Caenorhabditis elegans: one gene and its partner. The protein of the gene in region 1 interacts with the protein of each later gene in a pairwise test. Each region holds a gene or a part of one and is shown in the gene's direction. Other genes may lie near its edges. The genes, in order: cpg-1 and lrx-1.

Region 1 (4,650 bases):
AAAGAATATTACTAGTTGCAAATTAGTTTTTCTCTCAATGATTTCCCCACTCTCAACAACAAATGACACTTGTAAATGGAATTCTAAGAATTTGGTGGATTGATTAATCATGTGTGTTTTATTGAGATATATAGCCAAATGGATATAAGTGCTAGGTAATTAGTTTTTTTTTGGCTACGACTAAAACATTCCTTTTTTTTTTTGAAAAGATTAGAGATTTTCAAAGTGCCTGACGGAAATATCTTTCCTAGTTTTCAACCAATATTCAAATTCCGGAGCTGATTAATTGGATCAAAGCAATGCAGTTTATTTCAATAAATGTTTTGGAATAAACAATGTTTTTGCCGATTCAATCCCTCGAGGAAAGTATATTCCTAATTTTTTTGTACAGAGTTTGACGATTTTGGTAAAAATGGTTAATGTTTTTGGAAGTGTGAAAATATTCGAAATAATTTTTGGAAACTGATGGAAGAAATTTTTTAGATTTACAAATATAAAGCTACTAAATATGAAATAAATTCATTTAGTCTAAACTGTAAAATTCTCTGCAAAAAATTCAAACTTCTTCCCGGGAAGTACACGATGTCTAAATTGCAATTTACAGAAATGAAAAGAATTGTAACACAGGATAAGATGCTTACATTTTTCAAAGTCCTATTCGAATAATTGGTTCTTAAGAATCATAAAATCCTGGCTATGAAAAAGGGGAAAAATGAAAGAACAAGAAATAAGGGGATTTATTTAGGGATAATAGATTGAAGAGTGAATCAGCATTTTATGTCTCAGCGGTCTCAAAAATCAAAATGACATTTTTTCAGATAAAAATTGTGCAGGATACAATAAATCTGAGAATATTTTGATGGAAACCACATGAAAAGGATATCCAAGCGGCGTCATTTGAAACCCTGAAAGTCATAGAAGAAAACATCTGGAAACCAAGAAAAATATACGTGTAAGGCATCATTTTCAATAATATTTTGGTTGCTGTACACTCATTGTGACATAATTCTGTGAAATTTCCTTTTTTTCTAATTTAGTAATATTGAATTATTTAGTATTTAGAATTTGCAAGAACTAAATCCTTTCAAGAAAACCAAAAAAATTAGACTAAAGGGGGGAACTATGGGTCTAAAAAATGGAATGAGAAGGCACAATGTTAATCTTATTTTAGAATGCCATCGTTTGTGATGACGTGTCGTGTCGTTCGCGGATTAGTGGAACGGAAAACCTCGAAAATTTTATAAATTATTCAGTGTTGTTGTGTTCTAAGCGGTTCCTCTAAAATCGTAATTGAAAATTTTGCAATTGGGTGATTTGATTTTCAGTGGATAGTTGCTTCCTGTGATTTTCAGAAGGAAATTTGTAAATAAAAAAATAAAAACTGGATTTCTTATTCTTTGATAATCAAAATTAAAATATTTCACGTTGAAAGGTTAACCAGTTGCTCGTATGAGTCTAGAAAAGACCAAATTATTCAAAAAATTTCGCATTTTTATCGTTTTTTTTGTTCATTTTATTTCCGAAAAAGCGAAAAATAATTTTTCGCAAAAAAAAACACAAAAACAAGTTAAAGGCGCTGCCAATCTAATGCAGGTTGGGTCTCGGCACGAGAATTTAATTTTTGAAAATATTTTGTGTACGCGCCTTTAATTTTATACAGTACACGAGTGCAAAAAATAACCTCGTAAATATCGCGCAAGCACGCGAAACGCGCCAGCAACAATTTTTCGCAGCGACCGTAGCTAATTTTATTTGATCTCCAACTAAAAACTGCGGGAAATTTTGATTTTTACATTTGTTTTGATGTTGTTTCGATGATTTTTGGCCGACGAGGACTCGAGAAATCATTTGCAACTTCATTCTCATTTGTCTATCGACGTTTCTCTGTTTTCTTCTCATTTTTGCTTTTCTTTTCAACTATATTCTAAAAAACCCTATTGAATTTCTATTTTCAGTAGGATGACTCTCAAGCCAGTTCTTCTTGCATTCCTTGTTGCATCGGCCTACGCACAGTACGGTGTAGCTGGAATGTATGAGAATCTGCCACTCGAGACCACAACTTTGGACGGAAGTGGAGATGGTTCTGGGGCTGATAATGGATTCGTATCTGGAGCCGATGCTGTGGCAATCGACACTGACTGTTCCACGAAGGAAGACGGACTCTACGCGATTGGAGGATGTTCTCCACAATTCTTGACTTGCTCTGGAGGTATGTTAAACTAGAAAAAAGTCCCTATTCCAAAACAATATTTAATTTTCAGGAATCTCGAGAATTATGGATTGTCCAGCCGATCTCATTTATGATCCTCGTATCGTCGCCTGCGAATATTCGTACAACGTTCCACAGTGTGGTGGAGTTCCACAAGATGTGACATCAACACAAGAGGCTTATCCATCTGAGGAAACCACTGTTAATCCATATGCTCCAGTCGAAGAAGCCACGACTACTCCAGCCGAGGATGTAACAGTTCCAGAAGAGACCACCACAGAAGCATATGCTCCAGTCGACGATTACTCGACAACTACTCCAGCCGAAGATGTTCCAGTCCCAGTGGAGACTACTGCCAGCCCATATGCTCCAATCGTTCCGTACACAACTGGTGCTCCAGCTGCCGATGAGCCAGTCACTCGTTCTGCCGTAACCAAGTCGTGTGTTGGAAAAGCTGACGGATTCTATTCATTCGGAGAGTGCAGTGACCACTACACCGCTTGCTCAAATGGATACCTGATCCCAATGCAATGCCCAGCCCGACTTGCCTTTGACGAAGCTCGTGTCATTTGTGACTACGTTATGAATGTTCCAGAGTGCACGAATGGATCTGGAAACGACGAGGGATCCGCTGATGAGACTACACCTGAATCTTCTGGAGAGATGCCATACAGCAATGGATACGGATATGAGGAGACGACAACTGTTGCAGAGGATGTTCCATCTACTAAGGATTATGCCGAACCAATTGCCGCCGCTTATGTTGCCAGATATCCTAGTGAGAAAACTACTGCTGAAGTGAGTTTGAAAATATAGAAATTGTTTGCATAAAAATTTATTTCAGAATGTTCCAACAACAACCATCGGATACGAGCCAGAAGTCGTCGAAACCACAGCTCCATATGTTGAAGAGACTACAACGACCGTCGGATACAAACCTGAAGTTGAAGAGACCACAACTGAAGCTGAAGTTCCAACAACCACCGTCGGTTATGAGCCAGAAATCGTTGAGACTACCGCTCCATATGTCGAAGAGACGACAACTGCCGCCGACGTTCCATCAACCACAGCCGTATATGAGCCAGAAGTCGTTGAAACCACAACTGAAGCTGAAGTTCCAACCACCACCACCGTCGGATATGAGCCAGAAGTCGTTGAGACAACTGTTCCATACGTCGAAGAGACCACCACTGCCGCTGACGTCCCAACAACCACCGTCGGATACGAACCAGAAGTTGAAGAGACCACAACTGAAGCTGAAGTTCCAACCACCACCGTCGGATACGAGTCAGAAGTCGTTGAAACCACTGCAGCTGATATCCCAACCACAACTATCGGTTACGCTCCAATTGTTGTCGAAAGCACTACCGCTGCTGATGTGCCAACCACTACCGTTCCAGCTGAAACTACCACAGGTATATTTCTAGTTTTCGAATAAATTAACCTAACATTTAATTTTCAGAAGTCCCAGCTTGTGTCGAGGGAGCCACTGCAATCGAGCCATGCTCTCAACACTACAAGAACTGCGTCAATGGGCAAGAGGCAATCTTCATCTGCGAGAACGGATTGTTCTTCTCCCCAGAGCAAGCTCGTTGCGCTCCAGCCGATCAAATCGCCGAGTGTCATCAAACGACGGTTCAGTACTACTGAAAGAAGTAATCTATCAAATGCCTACTCATCCCAGTGCCATACACCCAATGCATATTACTTACCCATATCACAACTAACCTGTAATATATTATATACTTTGCATGCAACTAAAATAAAATGCTTGTGCCTGTCTAATTCTTACTGTGTCTTAATGAGGGTCTTAATAGAATTTGACTATTTAGAGGTGTATCCAGCACGCTGAAAGATTTCCAAATAAGTTGATGTAGCTGTATTTGATATATTCGCTCAAAAGTCAGTTTTGGAGCATAAAAAATCCAAAAATCAACCTCTGCGTCTATCGAATTTGAATTTCGCGCGGAAATTAGTTTTTTGAATTCTCGGTCGTGTACTCCTCTCGAACAAATCGTAGGTGCAATATTTCATTTTAGTAAAATAAACATTAAAAGAAAGAAACAGAAGGTGAAAACTTGGGGAATTGAGAGCCGGGGGAAGATTGATCTACACGGTACCTAAATATTGTCTCCAGGTGGTGAGAGAGAAAGAGGTAAGAACATCTTTTTTGATTTTTTAAAAATATATCCTGGCGATGTTTTGATATTTGTACAAAGAACTAGACTTGTAAAAATTGGGACTAGGTCGTGGGGAGGTGTGCAAAAGGAACCAAATAAATAATAGAGTTATTAGCTTTTGAATATAAATTTAATCAATTATCGCCAAAAACCTGGATTTTGTTTTATTTTCTCACAACACTAGAAGAAGATGAGGAAGGGAAAAAATGAGAGGAAATAGAAGAGATTTGAGATTTTTGTGTTTGGGGGAAAAGTAGGAAT
Region 2 (5,108 bases), on another chromosome or scaffold:
TGCTTTGTCAGATCATTCCCGAGTTTCCAAATGTTGTTACCTCATGTTTTATATTTTACGAGATGAACCCGATGCATCGGCCGATGTGAAATGAAAAATATTTTCTAACTGTTTCAATATTCTAATGCGTTTTTTGCTACGCTTTTGTTTCTTTCTTCTTGTTAAAAGCTAACCTTATTCATAAAAAATTTCGATTCAAGATCAGAATGTCTGACGATGAGGATGACTACATGTCTGCTGAAATTCTCCAAGGAGTTAGTGAACAACCAGTTGGAATTGCAAAATCTAGAGCTCACAAGCGAGAACTACAAATAAATTCAAGATTTGAAGAGTCCAGAGACACGTTTAAACCAAAAAGGCCAACTAGTCATGCTGAGCGAGGTTTGTAAATCGTAGTATATTATTTTTGTAGTTTACCAAATAAATTTCAGAAAAAGAACGTCGCGACGAGGCGCTCGCAAAACCGATTAGCCACGAATCGAAAGGATTTGCATTGATGGCAAAAATGGGATTCAAACCTGGTATGACATTGGGAAAGCAAAGAGAAGACGAAATTCGAATTACGGAACCAATTGGTGTCGATATCAAGGCTAATAGGAAGGGACTTGGGCACGAGGTTGAAGCAGTTCAAGAACGCAATGAACGAGTTGAGGCTGTAATGCAAAAAATGAAAGAACAAGCGGCAAAGCATGAAGAGCTGATCGATGACTATTCCAAACGGCGGAAGCTTGATGCCAACTCAAAGCAATTAGTCAAAGACATCAGATCTTGTCGAAAGGTGTGCGAAGAGTTGGATCATCGAATTGGAAAAAAAGTTCCCAGTGTTTCGTGGTTTTGGAGAAGTTATAAAGTTGCTCAAGAGGAAACTACATCTTACCATAAAAAAGTTGAAAAAGAAGATGAAGAATATAAGTACTCAAATGGTTTAGCAGCTCCAGAAGATCCGAATTATGATTTCACAATGTCAACGGAAATTTTAGAAGAAGCGTAAGTTTTTGTTTTGTAGATAAGGTTTCAATGAGCGTTATTTATCCAAACCGACAATAGTATTAAATATGCGTTTATTTCAGACTTTCCACTATCAACAATTATCTTCGAGATGGTCACTTCTATTGTATTTGGTGCGGAGCCAACTTTTCCTCGCCAGAAGATATGATCGAACATTGTCCTGGGAGCACTCGTCGAGCACATCATGGAGAAGATGAATAGATTAATTATTTTCATAAAATCTCAATTCTTGATGTATATACTATGAATCCTTTTTTATAACCAAGTTCGTGTCCTAACATCGTGTCACTTTTTTTTTTTGCTTTTTTGCTTCATTATTGTCTGCTCCTGTGTTGTTTCTCAAGGTGGGAACGTATCAAGTGACAAGTGACCACTAGTCAGTCAGCTTGAAGTGGCGATCAGTTGCCGCGCACCACCAGTAGCCCCCAACAGCGCGAAAAGCTTCTTTAGCGATAGAAAAGAACACAAACAATTGAAAAAGAAGAAAGTCCAGTGCACACACGACACTTGTGCTTCTTCAGCTACAGTCTTCAGTGGGCAGCAACATCAAGTTCCACCATCTTTATCATCTGCTCATCCATTCTCTCGATCTGTTCCGGTAAATTTGATTGCCAATCATTTTGCAAATCATGGCATGGTTAACGTCCATATTTTTCATTCTTCTAGCCGTTCAACCGGTTCTTCCACAGGATCTATATGGCACAGCAACTCAGCAGGTACAGTGAACTGTTCAAAAATTTGTAGCATTTGTTCTTATTTCTCTTTCTCAAAGTTTCTAATGCTTAGGGTCTCACCACGACCAAGATATTGTTCAAATGAAGGGCTCGCCAAGGGATTTGCACCTATAAGGAGTACTGTAGTTCAAGTTCAAGTTTTTTTTTCAATTTTTCCTCGTTCGTTCCGATTTTAATGCTTTATTTCTAACTATTTGTTTCGTATTTACATATAAATCGGTATGAGCTACAAGGAAAATATTTATGTAAAATCGAAAAAATTGTGAAATGAGTCGCACTACAGTACTATTTAAAATCACCGTATTTAAAATATTTCTGTCGTATCGAGACCTAATTTTGACAAAAAATCGCACAAAAAATCATTATGGTTTTAGGCAACATAAAGATTCCAATTGGATTCACAGACGATTTAAAAACTTAATTTTGAAAAAAATCAAAACAATCGTTTTTCTTTAGTGAATTGTATAAATATTTTCCAGCAGCCTTATCCATATGTACAACCTAGTGCTTCGTCTGGTTCTGGAGGCTACGTTCCAAATCCTCAATCAAGCATTCATACTGTTCAGCAGCCATATCCAAATATTGTAAGTTATAAAGGCTTGGGCCAGGGCCGAGGATAGGTCTATATTTGTTTACATTACCAGAATATCAAGAAACAATATTTAGGATGTAGTCGAACCAGATGTGGATAGTGTAGACATTTATGAAACTGAAGAACCTCAATTTAAAGTTGTGAACCCTGTATTTCCACTTGGTGGATCTGGAATCGTTGAACCTGGTACAATCCCACCACCAATGCCTCAAACTCAAGCTCCAGAAAAACCAGACAACAGCTATGCAATTAACTATTGTGATAAACGAGAATTCCCAGATGATGTACTAGCACAATATGGATTAGAAAGGATTGATTATTTTGTATACAACACTTCATGCTCTCATGTTTTCTTCCAGGTAATTTTTTGGAAATTATTTTTCTGAAATACAGAAATAGTTGAACAAATGTATAATTTAAAGTATTGAAACTTATCTTTATTGTATGCACGAAATAAGCTATTTTTATTTGTATGCTATCAATATTTATATTTCTACAGTCAATAGATTTCTGAAATTCCGAACTTCTTTCATATTTTCAGTGTTCAATTGGCCAGACTTTTCCTCTGGCGTGTATGTCCGAAGATCAAGCATTTGATAAGTCTACTGAAAATTGTAATCACAAGAATGCTATTAAATTCTGTCCAGAATACGATCATGTCATGCACTGTAGTAAGTCATTCAATTAAGAGTATGTATAAAATTTCATATGGCGTTGATGCACCATGAGGTGCGCTTGAAAGTTTGTAAATCTGCAATTTTCTGATTTTGATTTTATGGAAACTTAATTATTTCATCGATTTTTTCTCGAAATCTATAAAATATATTTATTTACAAAAAGCTCCAATATAAAATAGTGTTTGATATTGCAGCAATCAAAGACACCTGTACTGAAAATGAGTTTGCTTGTTGTGCAATGCCTCAATCCTGTATCCATGTGAGCAAACGTTGTGATGGTCACCCAGACTGTGCCGATGGGGAAGATGAGAACAATTGTCGTAAGTTACTCATTACAACAATTGCCAATTAAATTGAAAACCTTTAGCATCGTGTGCACGTGATGAGTTTGCATGTGTGAAGAGTGAACATTGTATTCCTGCAAACAAAAGATGTGACGGTGTGGCTGATGATTGTGAAGATGGATCGAATCTTGATGAAATTGGATGCAGTAAAAATACAAGTAATTTTTACTTTTTAAAATGTACTTTATAACAAAGTAATTAAAGCTTGTATTGGAAAGTTCGTCTGTGGAACATCGCGTGGAGGTGTTTCATGTGTGGATTTAGATATGCATTGTGATGGAAAGAAAGATTGTTTAAATGGAGAAGATGAAATGAATTGTAGTAAGTTTTTTTCTGCCTCCCTTCTTCTCACCCGGAAAACACCTCTGGAAAGTTATAAGTGGCGAAATAATGTACAGTACTTCCTCTAATAATATCGCATCCTACTATTTCACTTTAAAAGGTTATACCTCGGTTCAATTTAAAGATATTGAACATATTTTTCAATAAATAATTGACTGCAAACGATAGAAAAAAGTTTTCAAAAAATTGTCAAATGACAATTTTTAAATAGGAGAAAAGACAACTGAGATATTTAATTGTCAAAGTCTAACATTGGGAGTGCAACATTAATAGAAATACATACAATTTGGAATGTCTTTCTTAACTATAACCACACATTTTGGCACAACTTCAATGTGCGAACTTTTTCTTGTTCGAGACAAAAACATAGGAAAAAAAGTATTTTTAGCCAAGTGTCCAAATAAACACTGACGAATACTACACTTGTTATTTCAGAACAAGAAGGACGCCAAAAATATTTGCTCTGCGAGAATCAAAAACAATCAGTGACACGTCTACAATGGTGTAATGGAGAAACAGATTGTGCTGATGGATCTGATGAAAAATATTGTTACTAGATACTGCTGAACTTCTTGTCGATTTCCCTTAATTTATAAATAAATACATGAATGTCATTGCTTCTTGAAATATTCTTTCAAATTATTTGACAAAACGATTAGTTTCGCTTTGAAAATTTGACGGAAAAGAGGTCGAAAAGGGTGGGGACTGGTTATTTTTCAAGGTTTACTGTTTCTCTTTTTCTCTTCTTTTTGTTACTCTTACCCCTTTTCAACTTTGACACCGAAAGTCAACCAGTGTTAGACTCATGAGTATTTCCGTATATTCTGTTACTATTTTCACACTTTTGACATTACTTCCGTTAATATGTATATCACTGGAGTGCATCAACTCAACATCATACATGGACAGAGTTCTCGTCAAACCAATGAGCTCACATTGTCGTTTGAATAATGCACTTTGTGTGAAGACAATGCAAATTAGTCAGAATTCTGGTATGCACATATTTTTTGAAGTTGGAACTTTTAATATTGATCATTTCGTATTGACCGTCTCCGACTCAATATTTTTTGTTCCAACATTGATTAACTACCATTAACTGTCATTAAGTTCTGGTCCAAAAAATTGAATCAGAAGTTGGCAGAAGTTTGAACAAAGTTGAGCTAAAATTTTTAAAATTTTTGGCGCGCTCAAAACCAAATATTTCTTAAGTTTTACCAAAGTCTTGCCAATTTTTGAACAAATTATATAATTGGTCCAATACAAGGCTGATTTGAAAAAAATCTATCAATTTTGTTTGAAAAGTTTCGCAAAGTCAATTTCAATTTAAATAAATCCGAACTATCCTAATTCCGAATTTTATTTTTTATTGTCAGTGCACATGACCCCAGGGATAATCTAGATTCAAAGTTTA

Evidence for each region.
Region 2: the proteins of cpg-1 (region 1) and lrx-1 interact in a two-hybrid assay, tested with the Caenorhabditis elegans proteins (one large-scale study listed by BioGRID).

What each region holds. Positions count from the first base shown.
Region 1 is NC_003281.10:4,487,404-4,492,053, forward strand, and holds cpg-1 (Chondroitin proteoglycan 1), read left to right. Parts: upstream 1-1,955; 5' UTR 1,956-1,959; coding exon 1,960-2,209; intron 2,210-2,261; coding exon 2,262-3,007; intron 3,008-3,053; coding exon 3,054-3,624; intron 3,625-3,671; coding exon 3,672-3,859; 3' UTR 3,860-3,989; downstream 3,990-4,650. UniProt on the Caenorhabditis elegans protein: Required for polar body extrusion during cytokinesis in embryo development. Affects cortical granule size. Has roles in meiotic chromosome segregation, osmotic barrier function and polarization in conjunction with cpg-2. Binds chitin.
Region 2 is NC_003283.11:12,251,141-12,256,248, forward strand, and holds lrx-1 (LRP X(cross)-hybridizing), read left to right. Parts: upstream 1-1,544; 5' UTR 1,545-1,637; coding exon 1,638-1,724; intron 1,725-2,221; coding exon 2,222-2,326; intron 2,327-2,408; coding exon 2,409-2,693; intron 2,694-2,875; coding exon 2,876-3,005; intron 3,006-3,205; coding exon 3,206-3,331; intron 3,332-3,378; coding exon 3,379-3,513; intron 3,514-3,559; coding exon 3,560-3,676; intron 3,677-4,132; coding exon 4,133-4,254; 3' UTR 4,255-4,310; downstream 4,311-5,108. Other genes in the region: T04H1.5 (G patch domain-containing protein 11), read left to right, coding at 207-381, 432-987, 1,071-1,209; T04H1.12 (Activin_recp domain-containing protein), read left to right, coding at 4,503-4,689.